2 linked regions of the Nothobranchius furzeri genome follow. Each later gene encodes a partner of the first gene's protein in a complex. Links are inferred from orthologs where the notes say so. Each region holds a gene or a part of one and is shown in the gene's direction. Other genes may lie near its edges.

The links. The genes of interacting proteins can lie anywhere in the genome.
Region 2: eif3i (region 1) and eif3s6ip share a complex: the UniProt entries of both Homo sapiens proteins name them as parts of the eukaryotic translation initiation factor 3 (eIF-3) complex. The link is inferred for Nothobranchius furzeri from reciprocal best matches to the Homo sapiens genes EIF3I and EIF3L.

What each region holds. Positions count from the first base shown.
Region 1 is NC_091751.1:3,239,470-3,245,063, forward strand, and holds the start of eif3i (eukaryotic translation initiation factor 3 subunit I), read left to right. Parts: upstream 1-1,547; 5' UTR 1,548-1,684; coding exon 1,685-1,687; intron 1,688-1,995; coding exon 1,996-2,088; intron 2,089-2,180; coding exon 2,181-2,268; intron 2,269-2,345; coding exon 2,346-2,411; intron 2,412-2,530; coding exon 2,531-2,680; intron 2,681-5,594. UniProt on the Homo sapiens protein: Component of the eukaryotic translation initiation factor 3 (eIF-3) complex, which is required for several steps in the initiation of protein synthesis.
Region 2 is NC_091752.1:5,219,347-5,224,949, reverse strand, and holds part of eif3s6ip (eukaryotic translation initiation factor 3 subunit L), read left to right. Parts: intron 1-4,131; coding exon 4,132-4,193; intron 4,194-4,295; coding exon 4,296-4,365; intron 4,366-4,453; coding exon 4,454-4,527; intron 4,528-5,134; coding exon 5,135-5,306; intron 5,307-5,603. UniProt on the Homo sapiens protein: Component of the eukaryotic translation initiation factor 3 (eIF-3) complex, which is required for several steps in the initiation of protein synthesis.

The sequences.
Region 1 (5,594 bases):
ATAACTAGAGTTGTTGCTGAAGGCTTTACTGAGCTGTGTGGGAGGACACCACCTAAGCAGGTTTACCACAGGTGTGTGTGTGTGTGTGTGTGTGTCTTAAGTGTTGTTTTCTTCCATCTCTACCATTCCTTCCTTTAAGTAAGAGCTGTGTGGGACTGTTGAGGGAAGCTTTTCAGTCCAGCCTTTTATCCTTTTTTTATTATGATTTTTTTTGGCAGAGTAAATCCTGGATTATTAAAGAACGTTTTAGAACTAAAACGTTTGAACTCTTATTCATTTGTGTAGTGTTTAAATGTGAGTCTGTATTTATTGTTGAAATCATACAGTCACTGATATCGGGGGTTAAAATAAAGGATATTTTCATTTAAGCTGATCATTTTCATTCATTTTACTCCAAATTTGTCATCCTTACCTCTCCTGGGTTATGTTGCACATTACCAGTTTAGTTATTAGTATTAGCACTTTTATCTCATTTAACTCCATCTTTGTTCCGTGTGTGTGTGGGATGTACCTGTTTATATCTGTGATGGTCCTGGGAACGGCAAAGGCTTCTGGTCAGGTTTATTCTAAAGAATGTCAAAGTTCCTCTATGCAACGCTTGCATCTTGGTTTTATTCTGTGGCCTCGACCCACGAGCACTTAGCTGAGAATGTAATCTCATCATATCCACTGTTCTGCATAAATGTGTCGGGGACGACATATCTCACAGTTTAAGGCCTTTTTCTTCCAAGGGGTTGATACTTTTACATTGGGTGCTTTTGAAATGTGCATTGATCTGAGCCAAGTGAGAAAACTGAGAGGAGAAGTCTAATTTGATTTGGTTTCCTCCAAACACACGCCTGTTTCCCCTGTGCACTACATATGTAGTTTCGACAAAGCAATGCCATCCGAAACAGAAATGCAAATGTTTTTCAGTCTACCATAGGATGTATTCACTGTACTGTTTACTTTTCATATAAACCAAAGATGTCTCCCTGTTGTAGTTTATCTTTTGCAGTATGTTATTTTCTGGCCCTGATTTTAAATAAAATTAGAGTATGTCTGATTTTCTGGCAGATTATTTTTTACAGTGAATTATTTGTGTCATAATGAGAATTTTGAGAACTATGGAGATAATTTATTGTGATTTTTGAGATTTTGTGTCACCATATTTCCAGAATGAAGGGCACAGGACTAATTTTTCTTTTTAAATACTGTATTTGATGACCTTCAAAAAGAATCCAATAAAATCACTGTCAGAAAAGTAAATTTAAGTGACAGAAACTAAACGTAATAAAAGAAACTGGTGAGGAAGGAGTGGTTTCGTGACTGACAGAAATGCAAAATGATTTACAACTTATACAGGAGGGTGGCATGTTATCATACATTATGTTGATAAATATCATGTATGTAGCAGTATTCGGGATTAAATATTCACAAATGAGCTGATAAGGAGCAGGACTGAAACGAGCACAAGTTTGGGATCAAATTACTTTATTTTCTAGATTCCAGAAAGTCCTTCATACCACATTTGTCCAGGAGGGGGCGGCAGGTCGTCCATCTGCGGTTAATACCATCGAAGAAGAAAATGGAAGCCTTCTCTTCCGCCACAGCTCCGGTGTCTGACACATGAGGGTTTAACTTTTCTCCCATTGTGAGGCGCAGCAAATTGACTAAAGCATCTGGAAACACCTAGCTGACGACAATGGTTGGTATATTTATTTACAAGGCAATGTTTACCTGGCGGTTTTCAGTTTTTGTTCTTTAGCTTGTCGCTGTAGTTTGGGGTTTTACTTTGTCTGTTGTGGCTAGCTATAGCTTTTCACGTTAGCTAATGTACATATTCATTTTGGCAGAAGTCTTGAGTTAGCTAAGCTATGAAAGAGATTTCTGTGACTCGTATAGTGTTGGTGCTTTACGCCTAGGCAAGTCAAAGCTACGTTATTCTTTCTTTTTTCAATTAAAACAGTCATGTGTAAATGCTAGCTTAATCTGAACCGTTATCGGTGTTTCTAGAAACCCATTTTGCTCCAGGGCCACGAGAGGTCCATCACACAAATCAAATACAACAGAGAAGGAGATCTGCTCTTCTCGGTGGCTAAAGATACAGTGAGTTGGTACACACTCGCTCTTCTGTCGGATCATTCAACACGACGTTTGGGAGCAGCCAAACTCATCCCTGCTGTTCTGCTGCTATCCAGGTTGCCAACGCGTGGTACTCTGTGAACGGAGAGAGGCTCGGGACCTACAATGGACACACCGGAGCTGTGTGGTGTGTTGACTGTGACTGTATCCTTTGCACCTCTGCCTAATGTAAGCTAGGGGTGTCTGTCAGTGAAGTTAGGCATCTTAACTAGTTGTCTCAGGGGACACAAAGAACGTGTTAACAGGATCAGCAGACAACAGCTGCAGGCTGTGGGACTGTGAGACTGGTAAGTAAACCTTAACAATGTGCTTTTCCAAAGAGGTGGACATGATTTTTAGGGTATTGGGATAGTTTGTAAACCTGACATCATGCTGTCTAAATGACATCTTTAATGTGTTTTCACAGGTAAACAGCTGGCTCTGCTCAACACCAACTCTGCCGTCAGGACGTGTGGGTTCGACTTCAGCGGCAACATCATCATGTTCTCCACCGACAAGCAGATGGGTTACCAGTGCTTCCTGAACTTCTTTGACCTGAGGGATCCACAGCAAATAGGTAAACATTAAATGCGCAAACACACACACGCACACATGTTCTGCAATGGTGTGGCCACAGTATATGGACTGGATATATACCATTTTAAACAAACTTTCTTACACTTTTTGCAATTTTTAATGTCAGTCAGACACCTAAATAAAGTTAATTTAGACCAATCCTGGTCCTGGAGGGCCGGTATCCTGCATGTTTTAGTTTGAACTCTGTTTCAATACTCCTGATTTCAATCAGCAGCTAATTAGCGGTCTTTTGCAGCGCCTGATGAGCTGCTGCACAGGTGTTTCAACCACTGAATCAAGTCTGTAGGAGCAGAAAAACCACAAAACCTGTTGGATACCGGTGTCGGCACAGGATCTGCTCGGGTGCAAAATTGGCTCAGGGTCCGTCGACTGCCGATGACGTCTAAGTAGTTGATTGGCTGCACATGAACCTTACGGAATTACGTAATCACGTTACGTTGTTATCACGTTACGTTGGTCCAGGCAAATCTTTCTGTTGGAAAGATGGACAACTTTTACAAAGAAATCCATCATTACCTCTTTGAAAATACACTTTGAGCATAGAGCTGCATGTATATTAGGGCTGAACGATTAACTGCATGTGTAATTAAATTGCGATGTGACAAAAGGAGATTTTCTAATCGCAAAGGCTGCAATTTGGCAGCGAGTGGTTAGCGCAATGCTAATATACATGGAAAAACCCATAGGAATGCTAATGCTAATATCGCCGATTACATGATCAAATTATGAATTAGAAACGTGCCAAATGATTACATTTGGAGTCTAATAGAAAGTAAAAATACCATCAATCAAATAAGTACAGACAGGTATTTTAGTAAAGCCAGAAAACTTTTAACTCCAGAGTTTTGGCTAGCAGCTATGAGCGTAATGAACTACGCATGGACAAGACGTCAAAAACTCTAAACACAAAATACTTCAATAAATGGGACACACTTCTTTCCTGCAAATACAATTTCACAGGTGTTGCTAATACCTATGATTCTTCAAGGGATGTGCTCAAAGAGGAGTTCAACATCATGACTACAATATAGTGTTTTATTTTACAAATACCATTATAAACACAAACTTACGTCTTAAGAAACATTATTTTAATAAGGAAACTGCTAAATTCTTTCCAACAGTATAGATGTGTACTGTATTTTGTCCGAGTGGGTTTGCCGTACTTTGACGTCATCGGCAGTCGAAGGACCCCGAGCCGATCTTGTACCGACACCGGCCCTCCAGGACCAGGATTGGGCACCCCTGATTTAGAGTATTTATTATGCAGATGTTATTAGTGAATGTTGGGGAAAAAATTTGAATTAAATTCTGCAACAGCACCAGGGTGACTATAGATGTGCCTGACTTTAAATCAGCTTTACTAAGAAAAAACAGCCGATGAATAAAAAACTAAACATTGGCCAACCAATATAATCGGTCCACCCCTAATTCACTCATTCCTTTATTCCATGTAGCAGCTCAGTGGTCACTGTTTTTCAAAATTGCATTGATTCATGTACCAGACTATTAGACGAAGAAATAAGTTAAGATCGTCTAGCCTAGTGAACTAGACCAAATTCTTGCCTTGTAATGTTTGGTGTGGGAACGCTCCACCGGAACTTCTGAGGCCTCCTAGCAGCATTCTGGCAGATGTGTTTTAGTCTTTTATTTAGAAAAAGGATGTATTTTTGCCGCCTTCAACGGCAGACATCCTTGTTTACAGAGGTTGCGGTGAGTACTCCACGTTGTTCGTTGTCCAGTAGGGTGCAATGATTGTTTGAAAGACAACGGTAGAACCCGCCCCACGACAGGCAATGGAACATTAAATAATATTATGGATTTAGTCTGGCGTGCCAGGCTAAAGAACATCCAAAATATCTCAATTTAGAGACTATTTTAAGCTAAAGAAGGTCATAAAAGTGCCAACTATGCTTCTGTTGAAACACACGTAGATTTCCTCAATAACACGTGTGCAGCAACTTTTCCCACACTGAAACATTTCAAAATGAATTGACATGTTTTGTGCACGTGTCCTGAATCAAGTTGAAGATGGTGTGATGTAGGGTCGTCACGGTGTGAAAATGTAGCCTCGCGGTTATCGTAACCAAAATGAAAACGGTATTATCGCGGTATTTTTTTAAACGTGTTACATTTTCAGACAACTAAATAAACCCTGTATGTCAGGAAAATATTGTCCTCAGTTTGTGTCTAAATTTTGCCTAAAACGTGTTATTTTGTAATTATGTTGTTTATTTGTTTACATTTTTCCCCTTTAGTCTTTAAAATACCAATATTTGCCCATAACTTCAAAATTTTTTGTCTGTTTGATGTCATCATTTTAAAAATATTAGACCAGATGATACTCAGTACTCAAGTAGCCTTCTAATCAGATACCGTATTTTCACGACCATAGGGCGCACCGGGTTATAGGGCGCGGGCATGGGCACGTTCAAACGTACCGGTGTCGGTACAGGATCTGCTCGGGTGCAAGATCGGCTCGGGGTCCTTTGACTGCCGATGACGTCAAAGTACGGCAAACCGACTCGGACAAAATACACTACACATCTATACTGTTGGAAAGAATTTAGCAGTTTCGTTATTAAAATAATGTTTCTTAAGACGTAAGTTTGTGTTTATAATGGTATTTGTAAAATAAAACACTATATTGTATTCATAATGTTGAACTCCTCTTTGAGCACATCCCTTGAAGAATCATAGGTATTAGCAACACCTGTGAAATTGTATTTGCAGGAAAGAAGTGTGTCCCGTTTATTGAAGTATTTTGTGTTTAGAGTTTTTGACGTCTTGTCCATGCGTAGTTCAGTTACGCTCATAGCTGCTAGCCAAAACTCTGGAGTTAAAAGTTTTCTGGCTTTACTAAAATACCTGTCTGTACTTATTTGATTGATGGTATT
Region 2 (5,603 bases), on another chromosome or scaffold:
TTCTCTCTATCAGAGAGGTTGGTGAGGTTCAGCCAACGTGCACGTTCCTGAAGCACCATCATGCCCATAGCTTTCGCCGTAGCCTGGACCGCGCAGCGCTGCACCCGCAGGCAGATGTCGGTCAGTACGGTGATTTCCTCCCACACCTCCGGGTCCGGCTTCGTATTCATGTCCTCACAGAGCTCGGCTTGGTACGCTGAGAGCATGGAGGAGACATTCAAAGCTCGGACCGAGATGGCGGCAGCCTTGTACGCCCTCTCGTTCAGCGCCGACTGGAAGCGGTCCGCCTTTGCAGGGAGAGCGGGAGGCCTGGAGGAAGTTGCCGAGAGTCGTGGGTGCAGGTGGGCTGCAACCAGCGGTTCCATCGGCGGCATGCGAAGCATGCCAGCCCTCTCCATCCCCTCGAAGTCCAGCGAGGAGGCTCCTTGGACCGGAGACCTTGAGCTGAAAGGGTGTTTGTCCCAGGAGGACCTCACTTCTTGGAGAAGCTCCGGGAAGGCGGGAAGGAGGGGCTTTGCCGCCCTTGTGGCCTGAGGCAGCTTCTTACCCTCGTAGCGGGACCTGACAGCCTCAGTGACCACGGTGGGCCAAGGGATGTTGAGCCTGGTCGCAGCGCGTCGGCAGACTGACTGCATGTCCAGGTGGGCGGCCGGAGAAGCCGCTCCATCCCTGGGAGAGGACGGAAAGCTAGGCATGGAGGCCTGAGCGACGGGGAGAAAGACGTCGTCATCCTCGTCCTCCTCTGAAATGAGGAGTTCCGAGGTGTCCTCGTCGTCTCCGTAGTCCAACTCCAACACGTCCTCGACGGGGTGGCTCGGACCGGCCAGTTCGAGCTGTGAGCCCCAGCTGAGTTCGGCACACGGTTCCGGCTCCGGGAGGGCATGTTCGCTGGCGTCCCCAGGCGGTGGCCCAGGGGCCGGCAGGCAAGGGTCCTTCCCCGACAGGCTAGCTTGGCGCGCTAGCCGCCGGCGAAGGCTCTTCAGGGTGAAGCAGGCACAGTTCTCACATGACCCGGGGACTTCCAATGCCAGCTGGGCGTGTTCCAGCCCGAGGCAGCTCGAGCAGACCTTGTGCGGGTCTTTGCTTGAGATTTTGTTCCCACGGGTACAGAGGCGAGCTCCTGAGCCATCGACTCCTCTGGTGGGAGGAGCGGCTTCCATGTTGGCTAACTGGTGTGTTAGCAGAGAGCGAACAGGTGCACTGGAGTGTGAAGCTGCTCGTTATGCCCCGAACCTATGGTGAAGGTCAGGACAGAAGGACGGTAAGTTAACGTTCGGCGACGGAGAGAATATTAGAAGGCTCCGTCTGTGAACAGTTGAGCTAACTTACCTCAGAGATAAGCGACCACCGAAGCGAGAAGAGGTGATTGAATAGTGCGTGCGTTGGGACGCTTGCTACTTATAGTAGCATGGGGACGCGTACGTCACGGTCACTGGCCAATCAGGATTGGCGTATTGAGATAAGTGCTTCTGAGGAATCCGCGGAGGGGCGTATCCCATAGTGAGACATCGAAACGAATGTTAAGAAAGAGAACTCCTGGTTCCCAGTATAAAAAGACCAATATACTTATAGCTCATAGTCTATGACCCAAGAGCTATAGACCTTGGTAGGGCTGGGGGTAAACGATTATTTTTAAAACGATTATTCTGACGATTATTTTATCGAATAGTCGACTATTCTAATGACTATTTAGAAAATTAATCTAATGATTATTTTTCTATTGCACAATTAACAAAAACCAGAAAATCTCAAATAAATTCCTCAAAATAAGTGATAAATTGTTACTGTAAGAGAATAAACACTACAGGCCTTCCATTTTGTATAACACTGCTTTTATTGTGTTGCGGTTGGTTATGTTCTGGTGACGTGTAGAACTTGGGAGTGCAGGCTGCTGCCTGAGAGGTGGTAGAAGACGGAGTGTCTCCATGCTGCTTTGTTTTGGTCACTTATGTGCGTGAGGCGAGTGGTGTTACGACCCTTCCTGGGGAGTTTGGCTCGTGTGCAAAAAGGAAGGGACAATAACGGGATTTAAAAGTTAAAATGATGATCAGGTTTATTTACAACAACAAAAATCATAAATCTTTCCATCCACAGGTTGGGAATAATAAAACTAATTCTGCCTGAGGGGAATTAAAACAAAGTACAAATAAGTAGGGGTCCAAACTCTAAACTGGGCGGTTAAACCAAACTCAAGATGATATTTTAAACTAAACCGAAAACCCACAACACTCTAAATGTAATAAAAGGGAGATCTGCACCACAAAAAAGATTAACTCTAAACCAAAACGTAACAGCTTATCCAAACGCAAGAAGCTGTTAGCGAAGATGCTAACAGTAGCTTTACCAACGTTAAGTTCAAGTTACCAAGTTTAAATAAACCAAAAACACCCAGCAGCAAACAGACCAGCACGGAGGAGAGACTGCTACCACCAAAACAGCTCTCCTCATGTCTGAAAGAAGCTCCTTAATGAAGGGAGAAACGCTCCCGGTGATGTTCTACATCTGCGGTAGAGACGAAGCAGCGCATCTGACCCCGGAAGTTGTTGTCCGTTGCCGGGAGACGAAGGCGGGCAAAACAGGAAAATAATCTAGTAGTGGACGGACGTTATTCCGGGTCTTCGGTATTTGGCGGAGATGTTGGTGAAGGCGGAGAAGAGGGCGAACTAGAGGAAAAACAGGCAGATTCCTCCTCTATTTACAAACTCCTGGGGATGCAACAAGTGGGCGCGGTGCGTCGACTTCCGCATCTGACGTCGACAAATTTTTAGAATCGAGCCGTCGACGTCATCGATGCGTCGCTACAGCCCTAGACCTTGGTTTAACTCATTTAAGTCTAACCAGTACAGACCCAAATACTGACAGCAAGAATTATACAGTGGCATTTATAACAAATAAATACAAATAAATTGTTGTTCACAAAATGTTGCATAACATTTATTGAGTCATGTCAAGGTGCTGTAGGAGCGTGCACTAGCACCGTGTCCTCAGAGAGATTAGTTATTAGTTATCAGCGTGAGGAACTTATTTCTACCTTATTTATAAACTATTTATTTACAGGTCCATCAGTTAATGTAATAATTTTCCCAACCACAGCTGCACCCCCACCCCCCAACCCGGTTTCTCAGCAATCGGGGCAAGCTGCACGTGTGTTTAGCACGCCGCACGCGCACATTTAGCCGTTTTTAGCAGCTCACGAGCCCGCAGGTACGGTGTGTGTGTCACTCACTCTGGTTACTCCAACAGGGAGCCGGTGTTCTGAGAAAGCGTCCTACTTTGGCAAAACGTCCTACCCGTAGTAGAATTTTACGTTGTTTTACATGACACAAACCCTATCCCTAACCCTAACCAAAGGAATGTATTTTCCTGCAAATATGACAGCGGAGTAGCATTCCCCTTTTGTGTTGTGCGCATGCGCGCACATGCTCAGTAACAACGGGTAGGAAGTTTTACCGGGTAGGAGAAATTCTCAGAACACCGGCTCTGAGAGCTGTTTCTTTAGCAACCGACACATCACTACATCAATCCCTTTCCTAATGTCCTGAAGAACGGTCCGGAGCGCAGGTGGAGTGTTTAGCTAACCTGCAGGAAATGTCGACGACAGTTATCCAGAAAGTAGCTAAGGGTTACCAGAGATGTTTCTGACGTGTTCGCTAGGTACTTTTAGGATTTAAAAAGTCAAGAAGGGGGTCTGAGAAGCTGTTGGAAATAGCGTCAAAGTCGCTAAGTTGGCATCACTGTGGGAGGAGCGCTTCATTTGCAACTCAGGGCAGCGCAAGTGGGAGGAGCAAATAACCGGCTTGTTTTGTTTTTATAATCGTTCTAAACTCTGATCGTAATCGTGATTAAAATTCGATTAATTGAGCGGCCCTACCTGCTGGTGGTGGTTGGAGGGCGCGGTGGCGCCAGTGCTCGGCAGCCTCGCCTCTCTCAGCGCGCCCCAGGGCAGCTGTGGCTACATCGTAGCTCATCCCCTCCAGCGTGTGAACGTATGAATGATGCACTGTAGTGTAAAGCACTTTGGAGTCCTCCGACTCTGAAAGGCGCTACAGTGCGGGTCATTATCATTAATGAATGAAATCATCTTGTTCTGGCTCATCATAAAAAATGCTGAATGTAATTTTATTTGAACAGATGCTGTGTTCCTGATCCTCTATAAGGAACTCTATTACAGACACATCTATGCTAAAGTCAGCGTGAGTAAATCCTTAACTCAGACCTCTGGCACTCTTCCTATCGGCTGAAATGTGGAGCGATTTTTGCGTTTTGTAGTAAAAACGTTTTGTGTTTGTCACCAGGGAGGACCCACTTTGGAGCAGAGGTTCGAGTCGTACTACAACTACTGCAACCTGTTCAACTACATCCTCAGTGCGTCCATTCTCTCTCCTCCTTTGTTCCAATTGTGTAAATTATTTCTTGACACGTCGGTTTTATGAGAAAATTTGATTGCAAACAGATGCTGATGGCCCCGCCCCCTTGGAACTCCCAAACCAGTGGCTCTGGGACATCATCGATGAGTTCATCTACCAGGTCTCTTTCAGGATATTCATTTTCCCAACACGAGTCACATAAGTTTAGAACATTTTATTCAGTTTGGTTCCAGTGTTTTCTGACATGCATCGATATTTTTTATAGCCCGGCCAGCCAGGCTCCCATTCAGATAACCCCACCTCCTGCAAGTTCTAACCGAGCCAGCGCACGTCACACACCCCAACGTTCATTTTCTCGTAAACAACGAAGATGGCGTCTGAAGCAGAGCTTGCTGCGGCTCTTTGCTCTGTTCTAAATGACCTGGACTTGTCTTCGAAACCACGAGTAGAAGCACTAAAAGCCTTTCGTAAGAAATGTTTGCGCTGTCGCCGGACGCCATCTTTGACTACAGCTAAAAAGCTACAGCGTCACATGATGCGGTCGTCATTTCTGCCTTTTTCCTGATTGGTTATTTATGAGCTGGCTAGTCCCGCCCCTCATGGTGCTCTCTGCCTCGAGTATCCTGACTCGTCCTCTGTGTGGAACAGACGGAGAACGAGTCTGTCGGGCATATTCAGCTCGTCTCCCGTTTCCACCCAGCAACCCCACGGGAAGTACAGACACGTGGTGGTGACTAAAATGGGAATTCTGTTTATTCCTTTCACAGTTCCAGTCCTTCAGCCAGTACCGCTGTAAGACGGCCAAGAAGTCTGAGGAGGAAATTGAGTTCTTGAGGAACAACCCAAAGATCTGGAACGTCCACAGTGTCCTCAACGTTCTCCACTCCCTGGTGGATAAGAGCAACATCAACCGTCAGCTTGAGGTCTACACCAGTGGAGGTAAAGAGCCTTTAACTCATTCACTGCCAATGACGACTAAAGTCATCATTTGCATGTTTTTACTGTGTGGATGTCGGACGAGCCCCCGAACCGTGAGAACAAACATCTCCGCTCTAAAGCTGATCTTCAACCGCGTACGTCACACGTCACGTGATCAGGAAGCAGAACATCCATGTGTTAGGAGATCGTTTTGGGCCGCTGCTTTAAAAAAAAGTGAGGCGCGAACCGGAAAAGCGTCTGCCGATCACAATTCAACAACGGATTATGAACGAATGGATAACGCTCGAAACGCGCGGA